Linked DNA regions of Sus scrofa. The protein of the gene in region 1 purifies or fractionates together with the protein of each later gene. This does not show direct contact. Links are inferred from orthologs where the notes say so. Each region holds a gene or a part of one and is shown in the gene's direction. Other genes may lie near its edges.

Region 1 (4,715 bases):
CTGGCTGATCTGTCTACACCCAGGAATGTTACATTGAAAGTGAACTTGGATGAGGCCAAGGGCAGCCTTGGCTTTTTGCTTTCTTTCCCCTGCTATTCCTGGATCCTATGTAGTAAGGATGAGGCCTGGCAGGCCACTCAGACCACCTGTGCTCACCCTGCCCCCAAGTACCTGAAAATCATCTTGGCAGAGCAGACACAGAAACAGGGGACCTGATTAACCCAATGGCTGAGTGTTGCCTAGAGGAGGTATTTAAATCACTAGATTAGATAGATTCTTTTTTTTTTTTCTTTTGTCTTTTTAGGGCCATACCTGCCGCATAGGGAGGTTCCCAGGCTAGTGGTTGAATTGGAGCTGTAGCTGCCGGCCTATGCCACACCCATAGCAACGCCAGATCTGAGCTGTGACAACTCAGGGCAATGCTGGATCTTTAACCCACTGAGTGAGGCCAGGGATTGAACCTGTGTCCTCATGGTTACTAGTCAGATTCATTTCTGCTGAGCCATGATGGGAACTCCTAGATTCTTTTTATGAGAGTTTTTAAACATTTTTTCTTCTTTAAGGTACTATTTAAGGGGTCAGCAAACTTTTTCTATAAAGGGCCAGAGAATAAATATTTTAAGTTTTCCAAGCTTTACAGTGTCCATCATGAATTCCGTTATTAAGAAGACAGCCTTAGGCATTTGTAAACAAATGGACTTTATGGACACTTAAATTTGAATTTCATGTAATTTTCAAGTGTCATGAAATATTTGAAACCATTTCCAAACACAAGAAGATCTTACAAAAATAGGCCACAGGCAGATTTGGCCAGTGGGCCAGAGTTCGATGGTCCCTATATTATTTGACCTGTGAAAAAAAAATATACATTATAAAGCATAATAATAAACTCAAAACCTATGAAGCCAGCACCCAACTTAACCCTCAAAATATGACTAGAACCATTGACTCTGTACTTTCTTTCTCCCATCACCCTGCCTCCCTCCACCCTGTCCCAAGGGGACCTCGTTCTCAATTTTGTGTTTACCTTTCAGCTTTTTCTTCCAGTTTTATCAAATATGTAAGTTTCCCTAAGCAACATTTGCAAAAATTCTGCTTGTGTGAGAGCTTTATAAAAATAATCTTGTATTGTCTGTAATTTACAGGGACTGGCTTTTCAAAAGTGACATTTTATGGCTCAGAATTATCCATTTTTTTCATGCAGCTGTGGTTCATTCATTCCCACTGGACAACGTTTTAACCAAAAAATAGATGAGTACATTTCTTTCCATGGAAGAGGACTCGTGAGGAACTAGTTATTTAGAAAATACATTTCCCCATATATCCATCACCTGGATGCATCTGCCTTGTTTCCTCTTTTGCTTGCAGCTATTTTTTCCTTCCCTAGCAAGCATGTGGGCAAGCATAGCCATCTCCAAACCTCCAGTCTCTGTATCCTTACTACGACACTGGGGGCCAGATCATTCTCCCAGGTGGAGGCTGTCTTGTGCATTGCAGAATGTTTAGCAGCATCCCTGGCCTCCACCCACTAGATGGCAGTAGTATCCCCAAGTCGTGACAACCAAAAAGGTCTCCAGGCATTGCCCTGGAGGACCATACCACTCCAGGTGAGACTTGCTGAACTGTACACGTGGACTGTTTTAAATTTGAGCAAGAGCGGAGACCACTCAGTGATTGAATGTCACATGTTCTATTCCCTGGAGAACAATCTGACCACCCCACTTTTATCAGGTGAGTTAACAATGGTCAATGAGCAGCATGGGGGTGGGGGGTGGGGTCACATGGTAACCAAACACTTGGCCTTGGGGGACGCCTTCCACGGGTCTTTGGAGGCTGTTCCCTGAGAACAGGATCCTGGGCTGGGTTAGATAACCGCCCAAGTGTGTATTACTCCGGTTCATTTTATCACTGAGTATCCAAACTCATATTTCACGGAGGGAATTTAATACAAGGAATTGATTAGTAAGGTGTTGGAAGGGCTGGAGGAACAAGACGGAGGTGTGAGGTTATCAGAATCTACAGGCTTGGTGCCTCCGAGTCTGCTGCTGATGGGAACGAGCTGCCTGGGCAGGGTCAGAAGCCACATGTCACTCTGCCACCACCACTGCTGGTGGTGCTGCCAGTGTCACCTGCGAGAGGAGCTGGGAAAATGGCCTCTTCCTTCTCCCACCTTCCATGAACTCAACAATGGCCTCCTGTCGGTAGAACCTATAGGAAGCCTGCTAACAAGGAGGGATGGGGGTGGGGGGGCTGAGAAATGTGCCACTTTCTGCCCCTGCAGTGGCGAAGAGAGTGGGCACGTGGAGTTGACAGTCCATCTCATTCGTCCAATTTACTCACTGATTTCATTCTGAGGAATGCTTGAAGCTCGTGTTTATTTCATTCTTAGGAATTACTGCAGCCTTTGATTGGTAGGATAGCTTGTGTTCCTAAATGCCGTGAAATAGCACCAGTATTGTCTTAATCAGAATTCTCTAGAGAAGCAGAACCAGTAGGAGATATGCCGTGAGGGGGGAAGGGAGGAGCTCTATTATGTGCAGCTGGCTCATGCAGTTAATGGAAGCTGAGAAGTCCCACGATCTACAGGAGACCCAGGAAAGCCAGTGCTATCTATAAATCTTAGTCTGATCCGGAGACCTGAGGACCAGGGCCCTCACTAGACCATGGAGAGATGGTGAGGTGGTTGGACAGTTACAGTTGTGGAGTCTCCAAATTGTCACTTTGAAAGGATGTAGATCTGCCTCATATTTACTGAGCAATTCTAAGTATGATCCAGAGAGATCAGTAACACTTGAAAGGCCAAAGATTTGATCCACGCCTTCCAAGAGGTTACAATCTGGACTTCCTTGGTGGCTCAGCAGGTTAATGATCTGGCGTTGTCACTGCTGTGGCTCATGGCACAGGTTTGATCCCAGGCTTGGGAACTTCTGCATACCTTCTGTATACCTGGAAAAAAACCCCAAACAAAAGACGTAGAGGTTACAATCTAATTGAAGAGACAAGATGTTCACTCAAAGAACAGATTGAGAACAAAGAGCAATAATTCAGTGATAATATAAGCCAAAGATGGTGAGCATGTGGCATGGATATTGCAACTCTACATTCCCAGACCCATGACAGGCAGTACTGACTGATCACAGCATTTTTTTTTCTTTGATGAATCTGAATTCAGTCTCAGAATTCTCAGTACAGGGGTTCAGGCATTGACTCAATCTCTCCAAATTGATAGAGACTCCTAGGTACAAGTTCAGTGATTTCTATTAGATAAATAATTTATCTGATCAACAAAAATGACTAACAGCCTAATGTATACTAGGCACAGAGCTGGACACACTGGTGAATACCACAGGAAGACTCATGCTTGTGGCCCAGAGTCTAGGGAGGGAATCAAATGAGCCAATAAGAAACTACAGTGCAGTGATGTGAATGTTAATATGTGGAAAATACAGGGTTCTATGGATGGACAGAGGAGAAACAAAATCTAGACTGGAGGAACAGGGAAACCTCTAAGTTGATACCTGAAGGATGGACAAGAGTTAACCAAAGAAAAGGGAAAGTGTGTTCTTGAGAAACTCTCTAGTCGCAGTTGACAGAAACTTAGCCCAAGTTGCCTTAAGCAACAGGGGAACACATTGGCTCATGTAAGTGCAAATTCCCAGAGTAGCTGACTTCAGGTATGGCTGGTTCCAGGTGCTTAAATGATAGCATTAGGAAACTGTCTCTGTCTCTTAGATCTGTATTCCTCTGTGTGGCTTCATGTTCAAGCAGGTTTCTCGAATGGTGGCAAAGATGTCCCCGAGGCACTCCAGGCTGTCGTTCTGTCTCCAAAACCCCAGTAGAACGGTACCTCATGACATTGCCAGCAAAAGTCTTAAGGTTGACTCCAGTCTGGCCAGGCATGGGTCCTATTCCACCTCCCTAGTATGATCACATCTATCCAAATTATGCAGACAGATCTGAGGGAGGGTGGGTTCCCAAGGAGATTGAGATGCCATTACCAGAAGAGGGCATTATGCTGGGTCAGCAAAAAATAACTGATTCTGGGCGAGAATTCCAGGCAGAGGCTATGAAAACCAAAGAGAACCTATGATGCTTTGGAGGAACTGGGGAACGTCCAGGACAGTTGGTGCTGCATCAGAGCTTGCAGTGTGAGAGACGACTCTGGGAGGCCAGGTCCCTAGGGTGTGTGAACCACCTTAGAGTTTGCCTTGATTCTAAGGGCGGTGAGAAGCCACTGCAGGATTTGAGGAAGGAGATTCGGCATTGCCTTCACACTTGTTGCATTAACAGCTTTGCAGAGGGTAAGGAGAGAGGCCAGAAGCATCGCTTCTCAAGATTAGACCTTGGAAACAACCCTCTTGAAGCCATTTGGTACTCAGGTTTTCCCGTGAAACCCCTTCAGGCGATGTGTGCACCTCCAATTGATAGAACAAGCTAGAGAGGCTTTTCCAGGATGAAGTGGCCCTCTGGTCATCATGCTCTTTGCTATGATTCCTCAAGTGATTTCACTCCTCAGCTGAAAGAAGTTGCTGCTACTAAGGGCCACACCGTGCCCCGCGAGTTTTAAAAAAGTGCTTCTTCTTGGAGTTCCTGTTGTGGCGCAGTGGTTAACGAATCCGACTAGGAACCATGAGGTTTCGGGTTCGATCCCTGGCCTCGCTCAGTGGGTTAAGGATCTGGCGTTGCCGTGAGCTGTGGTGTAGGTCGCCGACGCA
Region 2 (4,016 bases), on another chromosome or scaffold:
GTTTTGTTTTTTGTTTTCGTTCACTTTTTTTTGGAATTTGAAACATGTAAAAGTTCAGTCCTGAACTTCCATCCCCTGTCTCCTGGCACAGTGTGTCCTCTGTTACATCGCCACCTCTGCATGGCATCGTGATGGGTCACAGTGGCCCCATCTCTGCAACTACTGTACATTTAAAAAATGATTCTGATTTCTTACCACCTGGCATTCAGAATTCCCTACTGTCTCATACCTGTTTGTTTTTCAGTGTGCTTGACTTAGGGTCTAGATAAGTTCTGTACGGAGCAGTTTGTGGAGAAGTCCCTCTCCCCTCCCCCTCCTCCACCTCCCCCCCTTCTGGCTCCTTGCTGCCTCTCTCCCACCGTCAGCCTGGCCTGTGGTGTGACCGAGAGCTGGCGCCCTGAGGTGGCACCTAGTAGTTTGGTTCTCTCTGGAGCCCTCTTGCTTTCTTTCCTCAGGTCTGGATCACCAATGGGGGGCTGGCCAGTGTTTTTACTGTGTTTGCGAAGACCGAGGTTGTTGACTCCGACGGCTCAGTAAAGGACAAGATCACAGCATTCATAGTAGAGAGGGACTTTGGTGGAGTCACCAGCGGGAAACCAGAGGATAAGCTAGGCATCCGAGGCTCCAACAGTAAGTATCAGGCGTGTGTACATGTGAGAGAAGGAGAGGCAGAGAATGAGATTTTTATCTTGATAAAAAGCTGTCAGAGGAGGCCCAGCAGGTTAAGTATCTGGTGTTGACATTGCCGTAGTGCAAGTTCAATTCCCTGGCCTGGGAACTTCTACATGCCACGGGTGTGGCAAACAAAACAAAACAGAGAAACACCAATATCTCAGATCTCAAGATAAAATGAGACTGAAATAGTTGGGGTTCCACCCAAGCACATTGGCAGAATCAGGTCTGGGCTGCCTTGGGGCCCCTCCACAGCAGTGCAAGGGAGCCCTGTGGAATAACTCAGTGCAGTGGGCACAGACATGCATCCCCACACTCGGGCGGGGACGGTGTTGAGGCAGTGGTGGGGTTTCTGAGGGAAGCATTGCTAACTGCAGAGCCCCGCCTGCCCTTCCCGACACCTCCTTCTGTCCTCACTCTCCTGCTGAGACCGACCTGCAGCACTCCCAGTTGAGGCCAGGGTCCATCAGGGGCCCTTGTCCTGTCCACTGCTGCCACTCAGCCTCAGGAGACTGCTGCTTGGGTCTTCAAGCTCAGACCTTGGAGGGTCTGAACCAGCAAGTGCCTAGACTGCGCCACCTGCTTGCTGGCCAAGGGCGGGGTACCCCGTGCTCCCAGTGACCAGTGACCAGTACCAGGGTGAGGTCCCAGTTTCGTGTGTTCCAGCCTGCGAGGTCCACTTCGAGAACACCCGGGTGCCCGTGGAAAATGTCCTCGGAGAAGTTGGCGGCGGCTTTAAGGTGCGTGGCCCTGCGGGTGGTGTGCCATCCTGTGTGCAATTGCAGGCCCCAGCTTCCTGTCCCCTCCCCACTAGGTGACAGTGTGTAGCACCTGGTTGGAAGGCCAGCAGGATGCAGACAGGTCTTTCCAGGGAGGGGTGGGTGTGGGCGCACTGGGTCTCCTCCACCTGAGGCCTCATCTGCCTGGTGCAGAGGTCATTTCCTCCCCCAGCGAGTGAGGAGCAGCCCAGGGCCCCAGGAGCGCAGACTGCACTGTCCTGGGGCTTGACTCCCTGCCCTGACGTTTTTTCTTAGATTTAGATTTAATATTTTTTTAACTGACAGGTGATTCTCATAACAAAGTTTACCATTTTCACTCGAACAGTTTGGTGGTCTGTTCACTGTATTATGCAGCCATCTCTGTGTCTGATTCCAAACTTCCCATCGCCCCCGAAGCAAGTGCCATGCCTTCTCGTTTCTCCTCCCCAGCCTTTGGCAGTCGCTATTTTACTTTCTGTGTCTGTGGATCTGCTGGTTTTGAATGTTTCCTTTGGCTGGAATCCATGGGTGGGCTCCGTCCCGTAGCATCATGTTTTCAAGGAGTATCCAATCTCTGGCAGCTGTCTCTCCTTCTTAGGGCTGAGTACCATTCCCTCGAATGGCTGCACCATGTCTCGTTCCTCCATCATTGGTTGGTGGACATTTGGGTTCTTTCACTTTTTGGCCTGTATGAATAATGCTGCTGTGAACATCCGTGAGCATGATTTTGTGTGAACAGGAATGCAGGGTCATACAGTATATGTTCGGCTTTTTGAGGAACCACCAAATTCTTCCTCAGCGGCTGCCCCATTTCACTTTCCACCAGCAGTGTGTCAGGGTTCCGTTTGTCCGCATCCTTGCCAGCACTCATTATTGCCCATTTTCAAAGTCATAGCCAACCTATTGGGTGTGAAGTGGTATCTCCCTGTGGTATGCATAGCATTTTCCTGATGATTAGTCATGTTGAGCATCTTTTCACATGCCTGTTGAATGTTTATTCCTCTGGAGAAATGTTTTTCCAAATCCTTTGTCCCTCTTTAAGTTGGGCTGTTTGTGTCTCTACTGCTGCCCTGCCCTCATGTACTGGGTGGCCTGGGTTAGAGTATTCACCTCGGGAGCCGCCCCCACCTTAGCTGTGAACAGGGATCAAAGCAGACCCTCCCTGGCCTCCTGGCCATATAAGAATCAGTGAAGGGCCATCAGTCAGGGTTCTGGGAGCATGGAGTAAAGGGTGGGAGAGGGGGAGGCACACGAGGTGTGTCGTGTCCGGATGTCACACCCAGGAAAGGACATGGGGTCCCTGAAAAGCCCCCCGCCTGATCTTCACATCTTTAGTGCTTGTCTTCCTAGATCTTTTTAGAGAGTTTACATCATTGAAATGTGCGCGCGCGCGTGTGTGTGTGTGTGTGTGTGTAGCCTGCATTTGTCACTTAGCAGGTCTTCCTGGCAGGCTCTGACTAGGGAGTGTGACTTACTGGCGTTCAGAGCCACACAGTCTTTCCTCATGTGGTCACGCCATGTTTACATCCCTGGGTCCCGGGATCAAACATTTAGCACTGTTTCCACTTCTTCCCCACTCAGGACCACATCGTGTGTCATGTGTCCTTATACACATCTCACATACTTGTCTCTTCATTTCCTGAGTTTAAACACCACCAGTCAAGTTACCAGGGTCAGAGGGCGTGGACATTTTTTTAAGTTCTTGGTCCATGTTGCCCCCTGCCTGCCAGACAGCTGGACCGGTGCCTGCTCTGCCTGCTCCCCCACCGGCTATGTGTGAAGTTGTTTTTTGTTTTTTTTTTTTTTTTTTTGTCTTTTTGCCATTTCTTGGGCCACTCCCGCGGCATATGGAGGTTCCCAGGCTAGGGATCGAATTGGAGCTGTAGCCGCTGGCCTACGCCAGAGCCACAGCAACGCGGGATCCGAGCCGCGTCTGCGACCTACACCACAGCTCACTGCAACGCCGGATCCTCAACCCACTGAGCAAGGGCAGGGATTGAACCCACAACCTCACAGTTCCTAGTTGGATTTGTTAACCACTGAGCCACATCGGGAACTCCTATGTGTGAAGTCTTATCTCCATCTTTGCGAACACTGCATGAAGAATTTTTTTCCATTGCGTTAGATGAAGTGATTGTTTGAATAGGCAAAAGGGAGCCTATTAAATCAAAGCTCTTTTTTATGCTGAGTGAGATTGCCTGCAGTTGGTCTTGGTACCAAAAAGTGCTGTGAGCTGGGGTGGTCCCACATGTCACAGGCAGGACGACCCTAGGCCCAGTGAATGTTGATGCCCACGAAGGGTAAAGTGAGTACTTGCTCTGGACCATTAGAGGCTCATCAGGCACAGAGGCGTGCAGTGGGGCTGTGGAGAGGATGGACATGGCCGCCCAGTTGTGAGAGGAGGCTGCTTCCTGAGAGAAGGTGGTAAAGCTGCAGGACCAAGGTCAGGTGGGAGGGACACCCGGGCCCTTCAGGTGAGGCTGAGTCTGCCCTCCTCCTGGGACCGAGGCCTGGTGTCCAGTCCTTTCCTCCTTTTGTCCTTGTTTGAAGTGCAGCTAAGGATAAACTGAACTGTGAGGGGGCCAT

Evidence for each region. The genes of interacting proteins can lie anywhere in the genome.
Region 2: the proteins of EYA2 (region 1) and ACAD9 purify together in Homo sapiens (affinity purification with mass spectrometry; 3 studies listed by BioGRID and IntAct, with this or other methods). This does not show direct contact. The link is inferred for Sus scrofa from reciprocal best matches to the Homo sapiens genes EYA2 and ACAD9.

What each region holds. Positions count from the first base shown.
Region 1 is NC_010459.5:48,929,118-48,933,832, forward strand, and holds the start of EYA2 (eyes absent homolog 2), read left to right. Parts: upstream 1-1,564; 5' UTR 1,565-1,678; coding exon 1,679-1,731; intron 1,732-4,715. UniProt on the Homo sapiens protein: Functions both as protein phosphatase and as transcriptional coactivator for SIX1, and probably also for SIX2, SIX4 and SIX5.
Region 2 is NC_010455.5:71,409,252-71,413,267, forward strand, and holds part of ACAD9 (acyl-CoA dehydrogenase family member 9, mitochondrial), read left to right. Parts: intron 1-455; coding exon 456-630; intron 631-1,323; coding exon 1,324-1,412; intron 1,413-4,016. UniProt on the Homo sapiens protein: As part of the MCIA complex, primarily participates in the assembly of the mitochondrial complex I and therefore plays a role in oxidative phosphorylation.